Arabidopsis thaliana: one gene and its partners. The protein of the gene in region 2 interacts with the protein of the main gene of each other region in a pairwise test. Each region holds a gene or a part of one and is shown on either strand. Other genes may lie near its edges. The genes, in order: AT5G51110, EXO70H1, AT3G56270 and ADAP.

Region 1 (4,248 bases), on a different chromosome or scaffold from region 2:
CGTCTGAACCTGGGAACTCTCCTGCACAAACCATCAACCATTGTCAATTTTATGAACAACCATGATGAATCAAACAAATGGACTTTAAAAGAGAGGATAGGCAGGTAAGGTTCTAGAACACACCCATAAGCATATGGAGGATAAAATGGAACTCCTGGCATGAATCCCCTCATCGGTCTAAAGGGACGCCCTCTTCCTCGAAATTGCCTCATTCCAGGTACATTAGTCCTCTTTGCAGATACCTGAAAATAGATTAAACAAAGTTTAGTAATGACAAATCGTAATATGGAAAATAATTAACTACATCGTATTGAACGAGTTTGCACCTTTATCTGACGACCATGTAGTTCTGACTCGTTCAAAATAAGCGAATTCTGAACAGCTTCTACTTCCACAAATTCGACATACGCAAAACCTTTAGGTTGACCAAACTTATCTGTCAGAATTGTAACCCTATTCACTGTCCCACATGATTGAAAATGCTGCTGGACTTCCTCTGGAGTACATGCATAGTCCACCTAATATACACAAAAAAACAAAGACACAGGATATCTAAAGAATCAGCTTCACAGATGGGAGATATGAAGGCTTTCTGAAATATGAAGGAAAGTTAGTTTAGCAATTACTAGAGATAAAGAAATAAACAACAAGCAGCCTCCAAATTTCATTGATACCAAAGCAATAAAACACACAAACTTTCTTTAAAAAAGATACAAACATATATGAGAAACATGTGAAAATTAATGGTGGAACAAGCCTCACATTGCCAACATATATTGAACGCGAATCCACTTCTTCCTTCTCAGCCGCACTAACACCACCTGAAGGGTCTTCATTGATATGCAACAACATAAAAGGTATTGACCCAATTAGCTAACTGACAAGACTCCACAATACTATTAATGATTTCCTTCTCATACTCAAACTCCAGTAAATTTCTAGACAGATTCATTGATTCACTAAAAGATTCCAATATGTAAACCCAAAGCAATATCATAATCAACAAGACAAGCTTTAAACCTAATCTATCAATTTAAAGGTTAATGTGAAGCTGCGCACAAAGATTCAAGATTTTACGTATCAGTTAATAAGTACAAACCTTGACTAGCACCCATATCTTTCTCAGCCTTGGCTTGCATTTCACGCAAAGCTCCAGCTTCTTCCTCAATCTCCTTAATTCGTTTCTTCATATCCTCCAAGTCCTATCAAACAATCAAAGCAAATAACAGACTAAATACAGTAAAAAATAAGAAGAGTCTCAATTGGATAAAAGTAAATTATAGATCGAAGAATCACAATACCCTAGAGCTAGAGCCAGGTTCAAGCTCCTCATCTCCGGCGGCGGCACCTTCTTCTCCGCCGTGTTCTTCGTACTCTTCCGTATCCATCTCACCTTCTTCCTCTTCTGGGATCTCTCCACCGTACACCTCATGCTCTTGCTCATCGTGCACCGGCATCTTTCTCTCTCTATATCTCTCACTCGGCGACTGTCGTTAAAGCGAGAAACAGAAGTCTCGGAATTTTAGGGCTTGAAATCGGGAAAGAAGGGAAGGTTTGTTTGTAATTAAAGATACCCAAAAAGGATACTTTCGGAATTATGAAATCTTAAGTAGATTCACCAAAAGTGGACACAAAAGTACAATCAAACCCAATGGGCTTCTCAGATTAAAACGTGACGTGTAAAGTCGGTCCCACGAAAGTTTATTGTGGTTCCCATTAGTCATTAGTGATTACGTGGCACCTCACCCATTTAACTCAGTCCAGTGGTCTGAAAATCGTTTCGCTCTCTAAAAACCAAAACTCTTATCTTCGGTACAGAGCAAATCACAGCTCCCGATGGCCGCCACGTCATCATCACCGCCGTGTAACATCTCCGCGTCCTCCCTCCTCCTCCGTCAACCTTCTCGCTCAATCCTTAAAGTGTTCGGTTTATTACCACCTGTAAGTAGGAATAACCGTAAACTCGGCCGGTTAACGGTGACCCGGTCTAATCTGGCGCAGGATTTTCTTGGTGACTTCGGAGCTCGTGACCCTTACCCGGAGGAGATAGCGAGTCAATTCGGAGATAAAGTGTTGGGATGCCAAAGCACTGAGCACAAGATTTTGATACCAAACGCATCTGTTTTGTCTCTCTCCCAGCTTCAGTGTTCCCCTGTTTCGTCTTCACAGCCTCCTTTGTCCGGCGATGATGCCAGAACTCTCCTCCACAAGGTACTTATACTATTTCTCTCTTAGTATAAAAATGTTCGAGTTTTGATTTTACAAGTTTGTTGGTTGATCAAAATATTGTGAAAATGTTATTGATTCTGCGTTTAACAGATTTCTAATCTATAAAGATAGAATTGTGACCCAAAAATATAGAAAAGCCAATGAAAATTTTAGTATCATGAGGGACATATTAGGAACAATGGTTACGAGATTAAAAAAAAATGAAATGATTAGTGTTGATAAGGCTCATGTTGGTGTTTTGGTTCACGGTTACCACTCTAATGATGTGGTACATCAATCTCAATGATTATTATGTAAACGTTTTAGGTTTTGGGATGGAGTATAGTGGATAATGAAGCGGGTGGTCTGAAAATAAGGTGTATGTGGAAAGTGAGGGATTTTGGGTGCGGTGTTGAACTCATAAACAGGATCCATAAGGTTGCTGAAGCTTCTGGTCATTACCCTTCTCTTCACTTGGAAAGTCCTACCCAAGTTCGAGCTGAACTATTTACCTCTTCTATCGGTATGTCAAATATTTGATGTTCGAGTTTGAGTTTTAATATATGGTTTCTTAAGACGGTTTGTTGGATGAATAATGCAGGAGGGTTGAGCATGAATGATTTCATAATGGCGGCTAAAATAGATGATATCAAGACTTCTGATCTTTCCCCTAGGAAAAGAGCTTGGGCGTGATCTTCTTTTCATTATTTTGGAACATTTTTGTTTGATAGTATGTAATGTATGTGATGTATTCTAAATTGTGTGTGATCGGTCTACATGTCGAGTTATATAGAAAGCATTGTCATAACCGCATAAGAGATATCACGCAACATGTCTTTGAGATTCATTCATCAATCAAAAGAAGAAAGAACATCAATCATATGGAGCACAATATAAGAAATGAGACATTATTATTAGATTAAGACATTATTATTATCATTTCTTCTTCTAGAACATTCTGGGACTAACAAAAAATTCGAAAAAACACAACTACATTTTTGCATTCTAATAGGCGGTGGTGGTTGGAGGACTAGCCATTTTGGAGCATTGGTGTTTCATCATAGGAGGGAAAAACGGGTTGGATGGAAGATTTGGTAAGCAGTTAGCTTCAGCGTCAAGGAAAGCTTTACAACAAGCAGGACCAACGCCTTCAAATTTGCCGGACATTACGGCTTGTTGAATCTCTTCAAAGCATCCCGGCAAATCCATCACTGTTGACCAACATTTGCTCAAGTCGGGACTTCCTGCCATACCGGGACTTGGTTTGAACGGATTTGGAAACGGGAACATGATTGGGGGAAACTGCGGTAGCTGAGCATTAACGGAGGCTGCGATGCATACAACTACTAGGAGAGAAACAACACTCTTGATCGACATGATGAATATTTGGGGGACTATGCAACAAGAGAAATAGATGACTTGAGTTTTGTTTGATGAGATAAAGTTATTGGCTATGAGATCCAATTTATACTGTAATTAGTTTGGCGAAACGTATTTTTAAAAGTTGCTTTCAAAATCAAATTTGTCGTTTTAATTTTGGAAGAAAATCAAAAATAGTCAAAACGTTTGATGCACATTGAATTTGATGCTGTCATATTTCTCATATGTAAAGAAATAAATCTTTCCTAACAATATGATAGGAAATAATACAAAGATGACAGAAGGGAAGCAGTAACAAATTTTAAGTCTCTTTCGTCTTTATTCATCTTGATATATATCATCTCCTAATTTTTTTTTTGAGATTTTATTTACATTCATAGCAAGAAAAAGAAAAAAATCTTTTCAATTTAGGAATTGTTTTTCTTCCAACTTTTTGGAATCCTCTATATAGTAAAAGATGTGGCAAGCCCATAATTGTTCTCATCATTTTTATTTTTCATTTATTGAATATAATATACTCATTGTCAAACACTATTAATTCCACTATCCTTATCCTTATCCTTATTATTTTTTAAACCAAACATATTTTAATATTAAATACACCATCCAAAAATAATATTTTCGGATTTCTAAATATTTAGCTTATAGAAAGATTTCTTA
Region 2 (4,487 bases):
TTTATATTATTCATCCAAAATGTTGGTTCGTGTCACACGATAATACACATTGTAGAAGGAAGACTAGAAGTAGAACCAGCTACATTAGAGTTTAATGTATCTATATAATAATAAGTCAAAAATACCCACTTGGATTATTATGTTCTTATCATTTTTGGGGTTATCAAAGATACTTTATAAACTTTTGACTTTTGCATTGGCATTGTCTTTACTCCGATGATCTACGCCTGAGAGTTGACCGCTTCACAGTCCAGTCTTCAAATTGTTTTCGCACTTACGATATCATTCATTTCTGATTCGTTAGGGCTCCCCCAAGCTTACAATCTTCCTTAGTAAAGTTTGGGAAAAAAACAAATAACATAAACATAATCAATCTCAATCTGAAACGAACTAAACACTACTATAGTTCATTTTCTCTCATATGTATATAACAAGATAATTGTCAAAACAAAAACTGTGAGTTGTAATCAAATGATGGCATTGATCAATAGTCATTGCTTTGTTGATTGAAGAAGATTCCACTTTTAAGGAAAAAAGACAGCTACAATAACTAAATTCTTTAAGGTTCGTTAGCAATGTAACCGAATACGTGAAGTAACACTAGCCATTGTTTAAAGAAAGAGAGTCGTCGAAACAAAACGTTGACTAGCTTATATGCTCTTATAATGATTTAGACAACTCACGTATATACGACGTTGAAGCCAAATTAGTTGAAATGTATATGTAAATGTAGTTGACTTTGGTAAGCGAATCTCCATTTTGGTCTTTTAAGAATCTGTAACGCCTGGAAATTGCCAATACCTCCGGTTCGTATATCTTTATATCATGATTTATGAGTGCGTATATTTGACTTTTTCTTGCAAAACCATACATACATAACATGCGAATGTCTTGTGTCTGTGTATATGATATCTAATGTATGGGAAAACTTGGAATATAGGTTTTATTTTCTTCTAGACAAGATCATGAAGTATAGTACGTATCTTTTATGATCATCTTTTTGGTCAGACGAAAGAATATTAGTTTTATATAATACATAATTTGTGATTTGTTTTTCTATCCTCTATAAGCACAAACATATACTATCAGATTATGACACATCAACAGTGCTAATATAACATTAGGCTGTAAAATCAACTTAAATATTTTGTAACACTTTTCTCTTAACTATTACAATAAACGTATAGCTGTTAGTTTGCAAGGACAGCGTTAACAACTTATTGTATCATAGTATTGATTCAAAACGTTAATTACTGTGATAACTATAACTTATTAACTGAAATGCAGACGTTGACAGACACACAAGAATTGAAATGTAGAAACGCGTTTATATAAGAGAACGCTAAATATATAAATTTCGGACTTTTCTAGTGAAACTCTATTAGTCTTCTTTTTTTTCTTTGGTCAAAAAACTTCCAATACGAAATTCGAACAAGAAGTATAATTAGTGATCAATAATGCGAATGATGCAATAAAAAGTCAAATGAAATGAAATTGATGAATTTAACTGTTATATAAAATTATAAGTTGACAGAATGAAATAGTCATATAATTCTAGTTCTAGACGTGGATAGCAAAAACTTTGTCGCCCATATGTATATAAAATTTGTACTCTAGTTATCTTTTAAGTATATAAGGCTTATATTATACATCGAAGTCAATGGTTCTTTGTGGTCTGGGTCTATAATCACAGGTAAGCACATCGTCATCGATTTCATTTTCAAAGTCAAGACCAATCTCGCTCTCTATATAATTGTTAAAAACCATCTTTCTAATTAAAATAGAAAGAGTAAAAGCCAAGTAACACCATTTTAAAAGGCTTCGCTTTCAATTCAGAAAGAAGAGAATAGAGAGCTTCTTCTTCTTCAATGGCGAAAATGGCGAAATTTTCTTTCTTCTCTTCGTCATCTCCTAAATATCATCCTTCTTCGCCTTCTTCATTCACTTCTTTCCCGGCTTCTCCTCTAAACCAGAACTTTACTCAGGCTATGATGGAGGAAACCGTGGAGACAGCGGACTCCGTCATCAGAAAATGGGACCCGAACACGCCTTCCTTCACCAAGATTGTCTCTCTGTTCAACCATAGCAGGAAGGAGGCTAAAGAGTTCATCAGATGTGTCCGTGATTTGCGCAGAGCGATGCACTTTCTTGTCTCTCAAGACTCTCAATCTCCAAAGCTTGCTCTAGCTCAGACCCTGATGCAGATCGCCATGGCAAGGCTCGAAAAAGAGTTCTTCCAGATATTATCTTCAAACAGAGACAAGCTTGATCCTGAATCAGTTTCCGGTCAATCCTCAATCTCCAGCAATTCTGAATTTGAAGATGTTATGGGATCTGACGACGACGATGAAAGTGACAATGAGATGAGGAAAGCTGGCGAATCGATCACTCAGGTTGAGAAAGCTTCAGCTATGGTGATGTCTGACCTTAAGGCGATAGCAGAGAGTATGATAAGTTGCGGATATGGTAAGGAGTGCGTAAAGATTTATAAGCGGGTCAGAAAATCTATTGTAGATGAAGGGCTGAGCTTGCTCGGGATTGAAATCTACAAAGGCTCCAGATTTCACAGAACGGACTGGGTCACGCTCGAGCATATGATCAAGAACTGGATAAAAGCTGCAAAGATTGGCATTGCCACGCTCTTCCGTGGAGAGAAACTTCTTTGTGATCATGTCTTTTCTGCTTCCAATTCAACAAGGGAGTCATGCTTCTACGAGATTGCAAACGAAGCAGCCACTAACCTTTTCAAGTTCCCTGAATTTGTTGCCAAGGAGAAGAAATCGCACGAGAGGATCTTCCCGCTAATGGATCTGCAGGCTGCAATCTCTGATCTCTGGCAAGACATAGAGATGATATTCCACTTTGATGCAGTAGCTGGTGTGAAATCTCAGGCGCTCACATCGCTGCAAAAACTAAAGGTCTCAATCCACAGTGCTCTCACGGATTTTGAATCAATCATTCAGAAAGATACGACGAAAGCTCTAACACCTGGAGGAGGGATTCATAAACTGACACGATCAACAATGAACTTCATCTCTTCCCTTTCTAAGTACAGCGGAGTCTTGTCGGAAATCCTAGCAGACCATCCACTCCCGAGAAACACTCGCCTGCTGGAATCCTATGTCAGAGCTCCAATTTCGGAAGATGAACAACACAATCACGCACTCTCTGTCCATTTTGCTTGGCTAATCCTGGTTTTGCTATGCAAACTAGACACCAAAGCAGAGCATTACAAGGATGTTTCTTTGTCTTACCTTTTCCTTGCAAACAACCTTCAGATCATCATTGAAACGGTTGGTTCAACTCCCCTAAGGAATCTCCTTGGAGATGATTGGCTCAATAAGCACGAAGATAAACTCTGCGCTTATGCTGGGAATTATGAGATAGCAGCATGGTCCAATGTTTTCATGTCTTTACCAGAAGAACCCACAGACCTATCACCAGAGGAAGCTAAAATATATTTCAGAAGATTTCACACGGCATTTGAGGAAGCATATATGAAACAATCATCACGAGTTGTACCAAATGCGAAACTTAGGGACGAACTAAAGGTTTCAATAGCAAAGAAACTTGTACCAGAATACAGAGAGTTTTACAGGAAGTACTTACCAATGCTCGGCCAGGAGAGAAACATTGAGATCTTGGTGAGATTCAAGCCAGATAATTTGGAGAATTACATCTCTGATCTTTTCCACGGTACACCAATTCATGCATCCTCTTCTTTTTCTTCATCTTCTTCCTCTTCATCCTGGAAATCACTTGGGTGTGTTTCAGGCTGAGAGACTTGATCCATAGTTTTGGCTAAATATTCCATTTTTTACATGATGTGAAGTGAAAAAAATGTAGATACGTGTGTTTGCATTGTGTGTGCAACAGAAAATGAGAACAAAAAAAAAAAAATGAGATTTTCTTTACATAATTTATGACGAGTTCTTCATTATCTAAGAAAAAACAAACTTGCGATACGCTTTAAGAATAAAACGAGTAGTCTCTAATAACCGAAGCTGATATAAATCTGATAAAGAATTCGATTCAGTGATATACATTCAAGAAGCCAATTACAAATCACAAAGAAGAAAAAGGCATAAAAAATCACACACAGCATACTGTAAACATAATGTGCTGAAGAACAAAAGCATTATTCACTCCTTCAATAACTAGAAAAAGAAGGAAATATGATATGCAAGAAAACATTTGAATCGCAACTATTACTTAGGAACTCCATGATCAGAAGGACGGGACAAAGATTGCCAACCGGTACAAATTTGCATGATTTGCTTGAGAGTTTCTGATGGTGGCTCCACAGTCCATGTTGGGTAGTGTTCACTTGGATGGAATACACATTCTTCACTGGCTCCTGTCATCAAGGAAGGTTGAGCTCCATTCAAGAACAAGTCATTTTCAGATCGTACTAACCCAGTTCTCGCTTCTTCCTTGTCAGCAGCCTACAAACAAACTCACACAAGATGATGGTGGTGGATTCAAAA
Region 3 (4,630 bases), 430 kb from region 2:
ACCGTCAGATAGTTGACACTTGGAAAAGAGTAGCCCACGTGTTGGGAGTGGCACATTTTAGCCTGAGACAATGATTTTGCTAACCCACGCCACTCTTACTTTTCAACTTTATTTTTTAATTATTTATTTATTTAGTTCCTTTTCCTTCTTTTGGTTTCGTTTGGTCCCACGCTCTAAGCCAATACGAGGATTCCAGACGAAATCTTTGTTGTGAAGACTAAAACACGTGGCATTAAGTTATTGGAGATATCTAGATTGTCTTAAAAGCCTTGACCACGTCATCATTCTGTATCTGACCACTCCAAACTTATACAGTATAAAGTACAAACTGGTCAAATCGTAAAATGTGTTTTTATCTCCGTAGTTCAACCTGAATGTTTCAGTTTCTATTTTGAGAATCTAGAAACATTATAAAGACCAACGTTATTAAAAAATAAACAGTTGAGGACCTACGGTATTGATTATGGATCACCTAATTAGCTAATCTAACACTTAAAATGCATTAGTTAAGAAAGTGCCCACCACCTAAATCATATGATCAATGCCCTTCACTAACTCCCATAATTAATTATGATTACTAGAAGCTTTAGTTTTTACTATAATGTTTTTCTTTTTGTCACATTTGAGTCAAAACAACACATCTCACTCTAATCATCTGTGTTTTGCTTTTGATGGAAGCAACAACACCCATCAATGATCAAACCAAGAATAAAAAAAAACAGGAATCGAAATGTGCAAAACATGTTTTCAAAGGTTGGGTATTTTTTTAGCTTACTCTGTTTTTCTAATGGAAGCTTGATGTGTTTGTATGAACCTAAACTTTCTCCTCGGCGTGACCAACTGTTTCTCATCTTTTCGGTTAAGAGCATTACCCATTGAGACGTTACGTTTCAGCATTGGCTCAGGGAGATCGATCAGTGGCTCGTGCTGATTGATATGGCTCAAGAAAGAGCGCTGAGGAAAGCTTTCTCTTTTCATCGAGCGTTTTGCTCCAACAGCTTTCTGGTCTTTCCATGACTCTATGTTCCACTGCCGAAATGCCTCTTCTGCTTCAAGTTGCTTCACACTAGCGATTTCTACCCGGTTTAACGCAACTTCCAAGGCTTGTTTACTTTGTTTAACTTCTTCGTTAGCTTCCTCCAGCTTCCTCAAGATCTCTATTCTTGAGACATTGGTGGATAATTCTTTGTTCATCTGTGCTTTAAGTGTTAATGGAAAACATGGTGTCTTAGGGAAGCAGAGAGCGTCTTGGTTTCTTCTGCTGGATAATATGGTCATTTCAGCAAGCGCAAGTGCTTCCGCTGCTCTTGCTGCCTCTTCCATTTTTCTTGCAGCAACCAATCTCATATCTGCAGTTCTCGGGCAGGTTTTGCTCTGTTTATGGAAAGCTGTATCATAGGTTTCAACTACCATCTTAATCTGTTCACATTGTGGATTCACTGGTAAATTCTCGGTATTGAATCTCTCTACTTGATCAGGACCTGCTGGTTTAAACTTCAAACTGTTAAGTTCCTCCGCTAGAGACGCTACTCCAAGGACATCTTTCTCTTCCTTCGTTTTCATATTCAGAGATTCAGCATAAGAGTGGATCAACGCAAGATCATCCATGGTTTTACAAAGATTCATACCAGCTTGCTTCATTTCCATGGTCATCAGATCCGGAGACTTCAGGGGATTACGATGGCAGTGCTCATCGACCATCTCTTTGGAGTGTGAACGCAAATGTTGAGGGGTCTCCTTGCATCTCAGTGCTTGCTGCTGAAGCTGCCACTTCAAATCTTCAAAAATCCTTTTGGTTGATCCAAGAGCTTCAAGAAGATCCAGAGTCTCTAACTCTTTCATAATCAGATCCTTCTCAAGCTCCACTGTCTGTTCTTCCATTCTCTTTATGTCAAATTCTCCCACACAGTCCTGAAGAATGACAAACCAAAAAAACATAAAACAAATCATGCTATATAATACCAAAAAAAAATCTTACATAACATCTTGCTAGTTCCAGAATCAATTGCCGCAAATGCAAACATCAAATTAGCTATCACTTATTACAAAATATCTACTCAGTAACCAAATCGAATCAGCTATCAGTTATTCAGTTTGTTAGCATACTTAACAGTTAGAGAACATACATTTCAAACTTTCAGTGACATTAATGCTCAAACTTTAAATGAACAGACTTTGTAAATCGGAAACTAGAAGAGAACTCACGTAATTGTCTTCAAGATTGAAGGGAACCCAGAACCCACGACCACCATATAACTGTGGAGAAATGTCGATTTCAGCTCTCAAGCATCCTCTCCTTGTATTCTCCGGGTTGAAATTCTCGGACCCGGTTCCGGTTCTCACTTCCCGGATTACGGGTGTACCGGGAATCGTCTCCGCCGCAGGGCTCTGTTGCCTCTCCGCCATTTCCGTTAGCTCGAGAACGAATTGGTTTGTACAAGTGAAAGGGAAAGATAATGAAAGAGTGATCTATTTACAGTAATCATAGTTACTGATCAGAAGCAAACAAGATTGAGAGCTTCTCTATGATTGTGTTTTTCTCGGTAATGAAAGTCACTCACGAGAGAGACTCGAAGAACAAGAATGCAGGCTTTGATGATGCTACTACTAATGGCTGTGGCGACGTGGCTTCTATTGATTGGTTATCTGATTAATTAATAAATGAAAATTTTGGGCCGTTGATTAAGGAAGCGATATTGGGCCGTTGGTACGAAGTTCAAGTTCGTCTATATTGGGCTTTTTTGTGAAGGAAATTCTTACGTATGTGTTGTTTGTTTCTGTTCAAATACGAATATCCGAAAATTGTTATAATTTTCCCGTGCGATATTAGTGTATAGTAAATGTATGAGTGAAATAAATAGGTGGAGCTTTCCCTTATAGTTTTCTAACCAATTTGTGTGGCCATCACATTAAAGCAAAATCCGAGTAGGAGAAAACGGACCACGTACGAATACGATTGGAAACGACCATTAAATTATACGACCTCCCTCACTCAACCGTCCAAATTCATCACCGTCGTCTTTCGATCTCTCACGTTTCTATTTATTTCTCCGCATACGTTTCTTCCAACTAATTAGAACCGACAAATATATATATCTTTTCTAATTACTATTGTTGGGAGTTACCAGTTAGCACTTGACATTGGTACGTATTCAGATGGTTTGGTCTGACACTCTGAGTAGTTCCCTATTATATCCTATCTAAATTATCATTTCATTAAATGTAAACCATTATATCTTTTGGATGAACATGCCCCAAACTTTTGGTCAGTAGTTTCAAATTACGACAAACAAGGTTAGTAGTCTTGATATATATTAAAACGTGTGGATTTGTTGGTCAATAATTATTTCCTTAATTATAAGAACACCAAATAAAAAGGTTTATAGAGTGGAATCCCACAAAAGGTAACATATTAAATACTCTAAGCAATGCTTACTACAGTAACTGTTTACCAATAATGTGATCCTCACCTCACGACTCTCTTATTATTAATGAAAACGCATTAAGTAATGCATACAGTAAGATAGCCACCTTTCATTTATTATCTAACCAATTTTTTCCCCTATGTATGATCTTCCATATACTTGTAATATGCTCATCCATATGAATTTTTCCTAAAGAAAATAAAAAAGCAGAATAAATATCCACGATTATATACAACCGTGCAAAGAAGATTCTTTTGTTTCATCGGCAAACTTGTTTTACTCGCAATACATATTACTCTTTGTCACCTCTAAAGAAGCTTCGAAACTAGCACTTGTTGTTTCAATTTTCGTACATCAATTCTCATCAAAAGCCGACTCAAACATAAACCGAGAGTTTATAAAAAACAGATGTCAGAAAGACTAGAAGATGACTTTGCAATCGATGAAGAGAGATCCTCCTACTATGGCGGAGCCTCCATACCATTCATATGGGAGTCAAGGCCAGGAACACCCAAAAACCACCTCTGCTCCGATTCCTCTCTTCCTCTGCCTCTCACACCGCCGCCCTCATACTACTCCTCCGGGATTTTGTCGACACCAAGGACGCAAAGCAAGGTGAGATCAAAACTAAGTAAGTTTCTGTCCTTCTCCATGTTCAGTGATCTCAGGAGGAGCAATCACGGTAGCAAGAAGACGGCAAGCTCATCGTTTTCTTGGTCTTCTACGTCATCTTCATCTTCCTTTTCCTCCTCGCCACCACATTCTTTGAAAAAACGTATGAGTCACGACAAAAAATCGCCACTTCTGTACGCTAACTACGAAGAGGATGAGCTTAGGTCTTCACCAACCTCGACTCTGTGTTGCTCCAACGGGGGAAGACTTGGCTGTAGTTCTTCAATGGGGAGTGTGACAAGAGCTCTGTTCTCTGGGTCAATGGAGGGTATGAAGAGACATGAGACCACAGGTAAAGCTCTAATCATCAGCGACATGAATAAAGCTTGATTATGTGAATAAAGCTTGGTTTTTTCTATGAGCTGCTTCGCCTCATTGAACAGAGAGTGTTATAGTTATTGGTGTGTGAATGTAAGTATATAGTTTGTCTCTCAGTCGTGGCCTTACCTGTGTATTGTGGACAGGCTTTTTCGTCAATTCATGTCTAAGTAGAACCAAGAACGTTCTCCCACTGAAACGATGTTAAATATTAT
Region 4 (5,818 bases), on a different chromosome or scaffold from region 2:
GCGAACACAAGAATTTGAAGCTAGCCTAGAATAGATTGATCGTCTCTGGATCGGCAGAATGAGTGTCATTTTGTTTTGACTTGATTGCTAGATGGAGAGACAACAATAGGGCAAAGGTTTTTGTTAGCTTGGACAAATTTTGTTATATTCCACATCGAATCAAGTGTTCAAGAGAATTGCAACATTCTAAAGTCAACAACGATCACAGACTTGAAAGACAAAATTCAGACGAACGTAGGGAAATTGTAAATGATAATAAGCATCTCTATATACGCAGCCGACAACCGTTAGAATTTAGAAAACTAACAAAAATAAAAGGATAGAAAACTTCTCCTTTTGAATCAAAAAAGGAAAAGAAAAGATTCTCCTATTTTATTTCTGTTAAATCTAGATTTCGTATGCAAATAGTTGGGACTGATGCGAACTTGCGAAGCACAGTATTTGACTGTACGAGTCATCTACCACGGCCAGACTCTGTCGGATGACGTGGCGTGTAATTATTGGCTGACAGGACCTCAGTTGTGTCATCGTTTCACGTATATGGTTAAATGCTGCCAAGTGCAACCTCTGAAACATGGACCAACGCCGTAAAAAGATGGCATACCCGAAACTAGGCGGTGACCATTGCCTTGCTTGCATTTCTCATTTATATCTCATGCATCGTTTTCTCTTCTTTTTTTCCTGTAGACAACTAAAAAAAATATTGGTTTCAAGTTTGTAGACAAGTTAAAACATAATTACAAGAAAACTCATACCACTAAACGTTAGACTATAAGTTATATTAACGAAATGATAAAATGTTATATATTTGGAGTTCATTGGTTGTATGTCAGATCAATGTATATTTTTGATTAGTTGTTAGAGTAGGGGACGAACTAATTATGTGGACAAATTAAAATAATGTTTTTATTTATGTTGTCTTATCTATTTATAATTCGTAATTCATATTTCAACAAGTATGGTGTTATTCCCAATCTCATTAGGTTCTAAATAGATATATCAAATTTGATATTTTGTCAAGTGTATTTCTTAAGTTGCTGATTAGTTGCATATCTTAACACGCAAAATATCATGTGGCCCGTTTTAGATTGGACTGTTGTAGACCATTTTTACCATAATTGTTGACATTTGCTCCCATCTAGTTAAGGGGCAGGTATACACATTAAATTACAATTTGTGTTATTCAATAAAAAACTATAAGAAAACACTGTATTAACCTTATAAGAAATGCACTCGTAAAAACATGACGTTCATCATGTAACTTTTATAATGATGTTCTACTTTCTGTTATAAAAAAAAACCTAAACATATACTCAAAATATATGGGAGTTCCAATGTTTAAAGTTTAATTAAGGCTATTGCCTTATTTCTTGCAAATTTTTTTGTTTTGTTTGGGTTAAAGATGCATATGCATTACATGTTATATTTTGCATATTTTTAGAACATAATTCAAATATTTCGGTGGTAAGTCTCTGTTCCATTCCATCAATTAATTAGGAATTTGGAATTAGAGAACTAGGAGTTTAGCAATGTTATTATCATATTACTTGGAAATGTGTTTTTAGAGCAAAACGATTGCTAAAATAATTGGAAGGAAATATTAAATATAATGGAACAAAAAAATGTAAACTATATAATAATAATAATAAGATCGTTCTTTAGCATTACATTATATATCTTTCACGGCCCGACCAAAAAGTAGATAAACCAAGAAGTGGAGAAATTATGAAGCTCCGATTTTGCTTGCCTACTTTCTCCAAGATTTTTGGCTCAGCGGATCTAAACTTCCACATGTCAATTCCTCATTTGTTCTGAATTAAAAACACGAATTAAAAGCTATATATTGAAAACAAATAAAATGGCTAAATCGCTTAATATCAGGTCTAAATGGTTTGATTACGATTAGGAATTTTAATAAATGAGAAATCTAATTACAGAAGTACAAAGAGGGCCGTAGCAAAGGAAATCTTTTAAAGCAATAGCAATTAAAAAGGCTAAAAAAAATAAAACGGAAAATTATAATTTTAAATACTCAACCATTTCTCTTTATAGTTTCCTTATAAAACAAAAACAAAAACCATTCCATCAATTTCTCATCCTTGTTGTTTTCTTCTTCTTCTTCTTCCTCTTCTTTTATGTTCATCGCCGTCGAAGTTTCTCCGGTAATGGAAGACATCACACGGCAGAGCAAAAAAACTTCGGTTGAGAATGAAACCGGCGATGATCAGTCAGCAACATCAGTAGTCCTTAAAGCTAAACGCAAACGCCGATCGCAACCACGAGACGCTCCACCCCAACGTAGCTCCGTCCATAGAGGCGTCACAAGGTTAACATGAGAACAAAACACACTCAAAACGTCACCGTTTTTGTTTATCTTTACTTAATCATATAACTTTCCGATTATAGGCATCGATGGACTGGAAGGTACGAAGCACATTTGTGGGATAAGAATAGTTGGAACGAAACTCAGACCAAGAAAGGAAGACAAGGTCAGTCTATACATACACACATATCTATATATCTTTATGAGTTATTAAAGATATTGTCGTTTTGATCTTCAACTCCGATTTCTCCGGGGAATGAGTTCGTCGTTACTGTTCTTGATTTGAAAATTAATTATATCTTATTTTGTATTTTTTGTTCTTGTTGGTTAATATGTTTTTTTTTTTGGTTTTGCTGACGATGCTGACCGGAATAATGGCTGACTCATCACGTGCAGTATATTTAGGTGAGTTTGTTTTGGTCATTTTTCATATGGCGTTTTCTTTTTGCACTCTCAAATTGGTAGACACTTTTTAGAGTGAGTGATGCTAATTAATTATCACCTCTAATTATAAAAAAACAAACGTTACTTCTCAGTTCTTTATAAAGCCAACTTGGTGGTTCTAAACAAAAGCATACATGTTAACATCTATGGCGTGACAAAAACAAACAAATGATCTGATAATTCTTAAAAGTACATTTCGATTTGTCTTTTTCAAATGTGCTTAGTCACAAATTGAAAATCAACCCCAAACATTTTTGCTACTTCACCTTTATGTTTACAATTGACATATGTAGTTTTTTAAGAAAATATTTACGTAATATATAGTATTTTAATACGTAAATGAAAAGAAATCAAGATTTAAACCAATGTTTAATTAATGTATTAATGTGGTTTGCACAGGGGCATATGACGAGGAAGATGCAGCAGCACGTGCCTACGACTTAGCAGCATTGAAATATTGGGGACGAGACACCATCTTGAACTTCCCTGTAAATTTTCTCGGAATCCTAGTTAATACTTAAAAACATTAAATAATTAGAAAGTAGTTACTATTCACATGATCTTTGTTTGCTTCACAATCTTTCTTACATATGTGTTCTTATAGAAAGAAACACAAAGAAAGAAGAAGAGTCTGTTTATATCTAATTCTTGCTTCTTCTTTTTTTTTTTTTATAGTTCTAATAACTATTGTTTATTTTGTGTGTGATTTATAGTTGTGTAATTATGAAGAAGACATCAAAGAAATGGAAAGCCAGTCAAAGGAAGAGTATATTGGATCTTTGAGAAGGTAATAACTAAATCACTTTTTTGAATGATTGGTGGTTAACTATAATTCTCTGCTTTCTTTTGGTTAACAAACTAAGTATTGATTAATAATATTTTTTGGATGATTTTTTACAGAAAAAGTAGTGGGTTTTCACGAGGTGTATCAAAATACAGAGGCGTTGCAAAGTAAACCGACTTTAATTCCCCATAATAAAAGACTATAAGAACAATGATCAATTTCAATATTACTAATTTCAAATGTTTGATAAGTTATTATGGACTTGCAGGCATCACCACAATGGGAGATGGGAAGCTCGAATCGGAAGAGTGTTTGGCAATAAATATTTATACCTTGGAACTTACGGTAACTTTTTGAAAACTTTTTTATTTTTTATATACAGTAATTAATGAAAAAAACATGATATCTCCAAACGCAAAACATAACTAGATGAAATTCAAGACAAGTAGAAGTAAATATGCGATTATCATTTGACACATTTGATCAAACTTGTACGTTTTCACTAATGTTTTATCAAACTACTCCTGCATTTGAGTTTATTAGTGGTTAGTTTCCTAACCAAAAAGATTGTATGATACATATATATTTTGATTACAAATTATAAACATTCACTAAATTGGATGGTGGTAAATGGTAGTTGTGATAACAACAAATTCTACAAATGCTATATGTGGGATTCTCTCTTCATTATAACCAAACATTTTTACTTTGAAATCTTTAATAAGGGGTTGATATATGCACGTAATCAGATCTTGTGTTGGTTGGGAAATAGATCACCAAACCCAACCACTTAGTCAAGCCTTTAATTTATTATAGAGTTTGTTTTTCCTTATGTTTATACATATTTATTTATTGTATGGTTTAAATTATAAGTTGCTCATCCAATTTTACTGGCCAATTTAATTCTATTTATTATATGTTTTACATATTGTCCTATATCAACGGGACAAAGTACATTTTCAAAAAAATCTAACGTGATTATTGACTTGTAGCATTTTCATTTTGTTGTTGTTGGCATTATTCACTTGTGTAGCACAATATTACGTATTAGGCAAATCCATAATAGTTTGGGGAGTAAAACGTAATAATTAACAAACCAAAGAATTAGAAGTTTCATAAATTGTCTTAAACTTCTCAATGTGACATTTTGCACCCCTTTTATTGTAGCGACGCAAGAAGAAGCAGCTATAGCGTACGATATCGCAGCTATCGAGTACCGTGGACTCAACGCCGTTACTAACTTCGACATCAGCCGTTATCTGAAACTCCCGGTGCCGGAGAACCCTATCGATACCGCGAATAATCTCCTCGAGAGTCCGCATTCTGATCTTAGCCCATTTATAAAACCTAACCACGAGTCTGACTTATCACAGAGTCAATCTTCGTCAGAGGACAACGATGATCGGAAAACAAAGCTCTTGAAGTCGTCACCTTTAGTGGCAGAGGAGGTAATCGGACCATCGACGCCACCTGAGATTGCTCCGCCTCGTCGGAGCTTCCCGGAAGATATCCAGACGTATTTCGGGTGTCAAAACTCCGGCAAGTTAACGGCGGAGGAAGATGATGTTATCTTCGGTGATTTAGATTCTTTCCTTACGCCTGATTTCTACAGCGAGTTAAATGATTGCTAAAGTGTTGTTCTTCTGATAAGTTTTGTTTTTTAGTTGTTCAGAATCTCGGTTGTGAAAATCAACATTGACACATCGATTATTCTTTCTTGTGACAATCTTATATAATAAAGTTTGAATCTTTTTAACAGTTGTCCACTTTCAGTTTCCTCTGATGGTGAATTTGATTTGAGAGGTACTGAGGTAGTTTGTGAAACTCAGATAGAGGAATTGTTTATGTAGAAAAGTAAGGTATACAGATGATGATCATTGGAGGGATGTTCAGAGATTGAACTCGTCCGTTTATTAATGATCAAACAGTACAACAAAGCTTGGAATCAATAGAAGCCAAGCAAATGCAGAATGCTTGGTAGCCTGAGAATGGATACCTGCAAACAGATAAAGCAAAAGACTTTTAGATGATAAAGCCTTTAATCCTAAGCTTATAAGTATGTTTATGTTTGGCTCATTCTGGTTTGAGCAAGTAGTACCTGAAGTCGATTACATATCTTGCTTTGTCAACTCTCCCCATTTGAAGAATTGTCTGCCTTGGAGTCTCCTGCTTATACCAAATTACACAATGTTTAGGATTCTTGAGATTGGTTTTTGATCAAAGCTTTAAAGTTGTGGAAATGCACCGTGAGTGTTAGCTGAAAGTTC

Evidence for each region.
Region 1: the proteins of EXO70H1 (region 2) and AT5G51110 interact in a two-hybrid assay, tested with the Arabidopsis thaliana proteins (one large-scale study listed by BioGRID).
Region 3: the proteins of EXO70H1 (region 2) and AT3G56270 interact in a two-hybrid assay, tested with the Arabidopsis thaliana proteins (one large-scale study listed by BioGRID).
Region 4: the proteins of EXO70H1 (region 2) and ADAP interact in a two-hybrid assay, tested with the Arabidopsis thaliana proteins (one large-scale study listed by BioGRID).

What each region holds. Positions count from the first base shown.
Region 1 is NC_003076.8:20,776,969-20,781,216, reverse strand, and holds AT5G51110 (Transcriptional coactivator/pterin dehydratase), read left to right. Parts: upstream 1-1,728; 5' UTR 1,729-1,836; coding exon 1,837-2,211; intron 2,212-2,535; coding exon 2,536-2,731; intron 2,732-2,809; coding exon 2,810-2,901; 3' UTR 2,902-3,213; coding exon of another isoform or gene 3,214-3,585; 3' UTR 3,586-3,716; downstream 3,717-4,248. Other genes in the region: PABN1 (polyadenylate-binding protein 1), read right to left, coding at 1-21, 124-242, 327-518, 763-821, 898-1,020, 1,100-1,202, 1,302-1,457; AT5G51105 (ECA1 gametogenesis family protein (DUF1278)), read right to left, coding at 3,214-3,585. UniProt on the Arabidopsis thaliana protein: Involved in tetrahydrobiopterin biosynthesis. Interacts with and acts downstream of the E3 ubiquitin-protein ligase SDIR1 in abscisic acid (ABA) and salt stress signaling.
Region 2 is NC_003074.8:20,439,947-20,444,433, reverse strand, and holds EXO70H1 (exocyst subunit exo70 family protein H1), read left to right. Parts: upstream 1-1,783; 5' UTR 1,784-1,868; coding exon 1,869-3,779; 3' UTR 3,780-3,943; downstream 3,944-4,487. Other genes in the region: AT3G55140 (Pectin lyase-like superfamily protein), read right to left, coding at 4,209-4,445.
Region 3 is NC_003074.8:20,867,996-20,872,625, reverse strand, and holds AT3G56270 (WEB family protein (DUF827)), read right to left. Parts: upstream 2,627-4,630; 5' UTR 2,407-2,626; coding exon 2,206-2,406; intron 1,912-2,205; coding exon 772-1,911; 3' UTR 519-771; downstream 1-518. Other genes in the region: AT3G56260 (uncharacterized protein), read left to right, coding at 3,834-4,427; AT3G56250 (uncharacterized protein), read right to left, coding at 4,470-4,544.
Region 4 is NC_003070.9:5,506,428-5,512,245, forward strand, and holds ADAP (ARIA-interacting double AP2 domain protein), read left to right. Parts: upstream 1-1,883; 5' UTR 1,884-2,135; coding exon 2,136-2,326; intron 2,327-2,406; coding exon 2,407-2,489; exon of another isoform or gene 2,490-2,655; coding exon of another isoform or gene 2,656-2,719; coding exon 2,720-2,728; intron 2,729-2,864; exon of another isoform or gene 2,865-3,166; coding exon 3,167-3,255; exon of another isoform or gene 3,256-3,480; coding exon 3,481-3,554; intron 3,555-3,667; coding exon 3,668-3,718; intron 3,719-3,741; exon of another isoform or gene 3,742-3,790; coding exon of another isoform or gene 3,791-3,819; coding exon 3,820-3,896; exon of another isoform or gene 3,897-4,718; coding exon 4,719-5,182; 3' UTR 5,183-5,308; downstream 5,309-5,818. Other genes in the region: AT1G16040 (phosphatidylinositol-glycan biosynthesis class F-like protein), read left to right, coding at 1-29; TLP8 (tubby like protein 8), read right to left, coding at 5,472-5,547, 5,650-5,717, 5,797-5,818.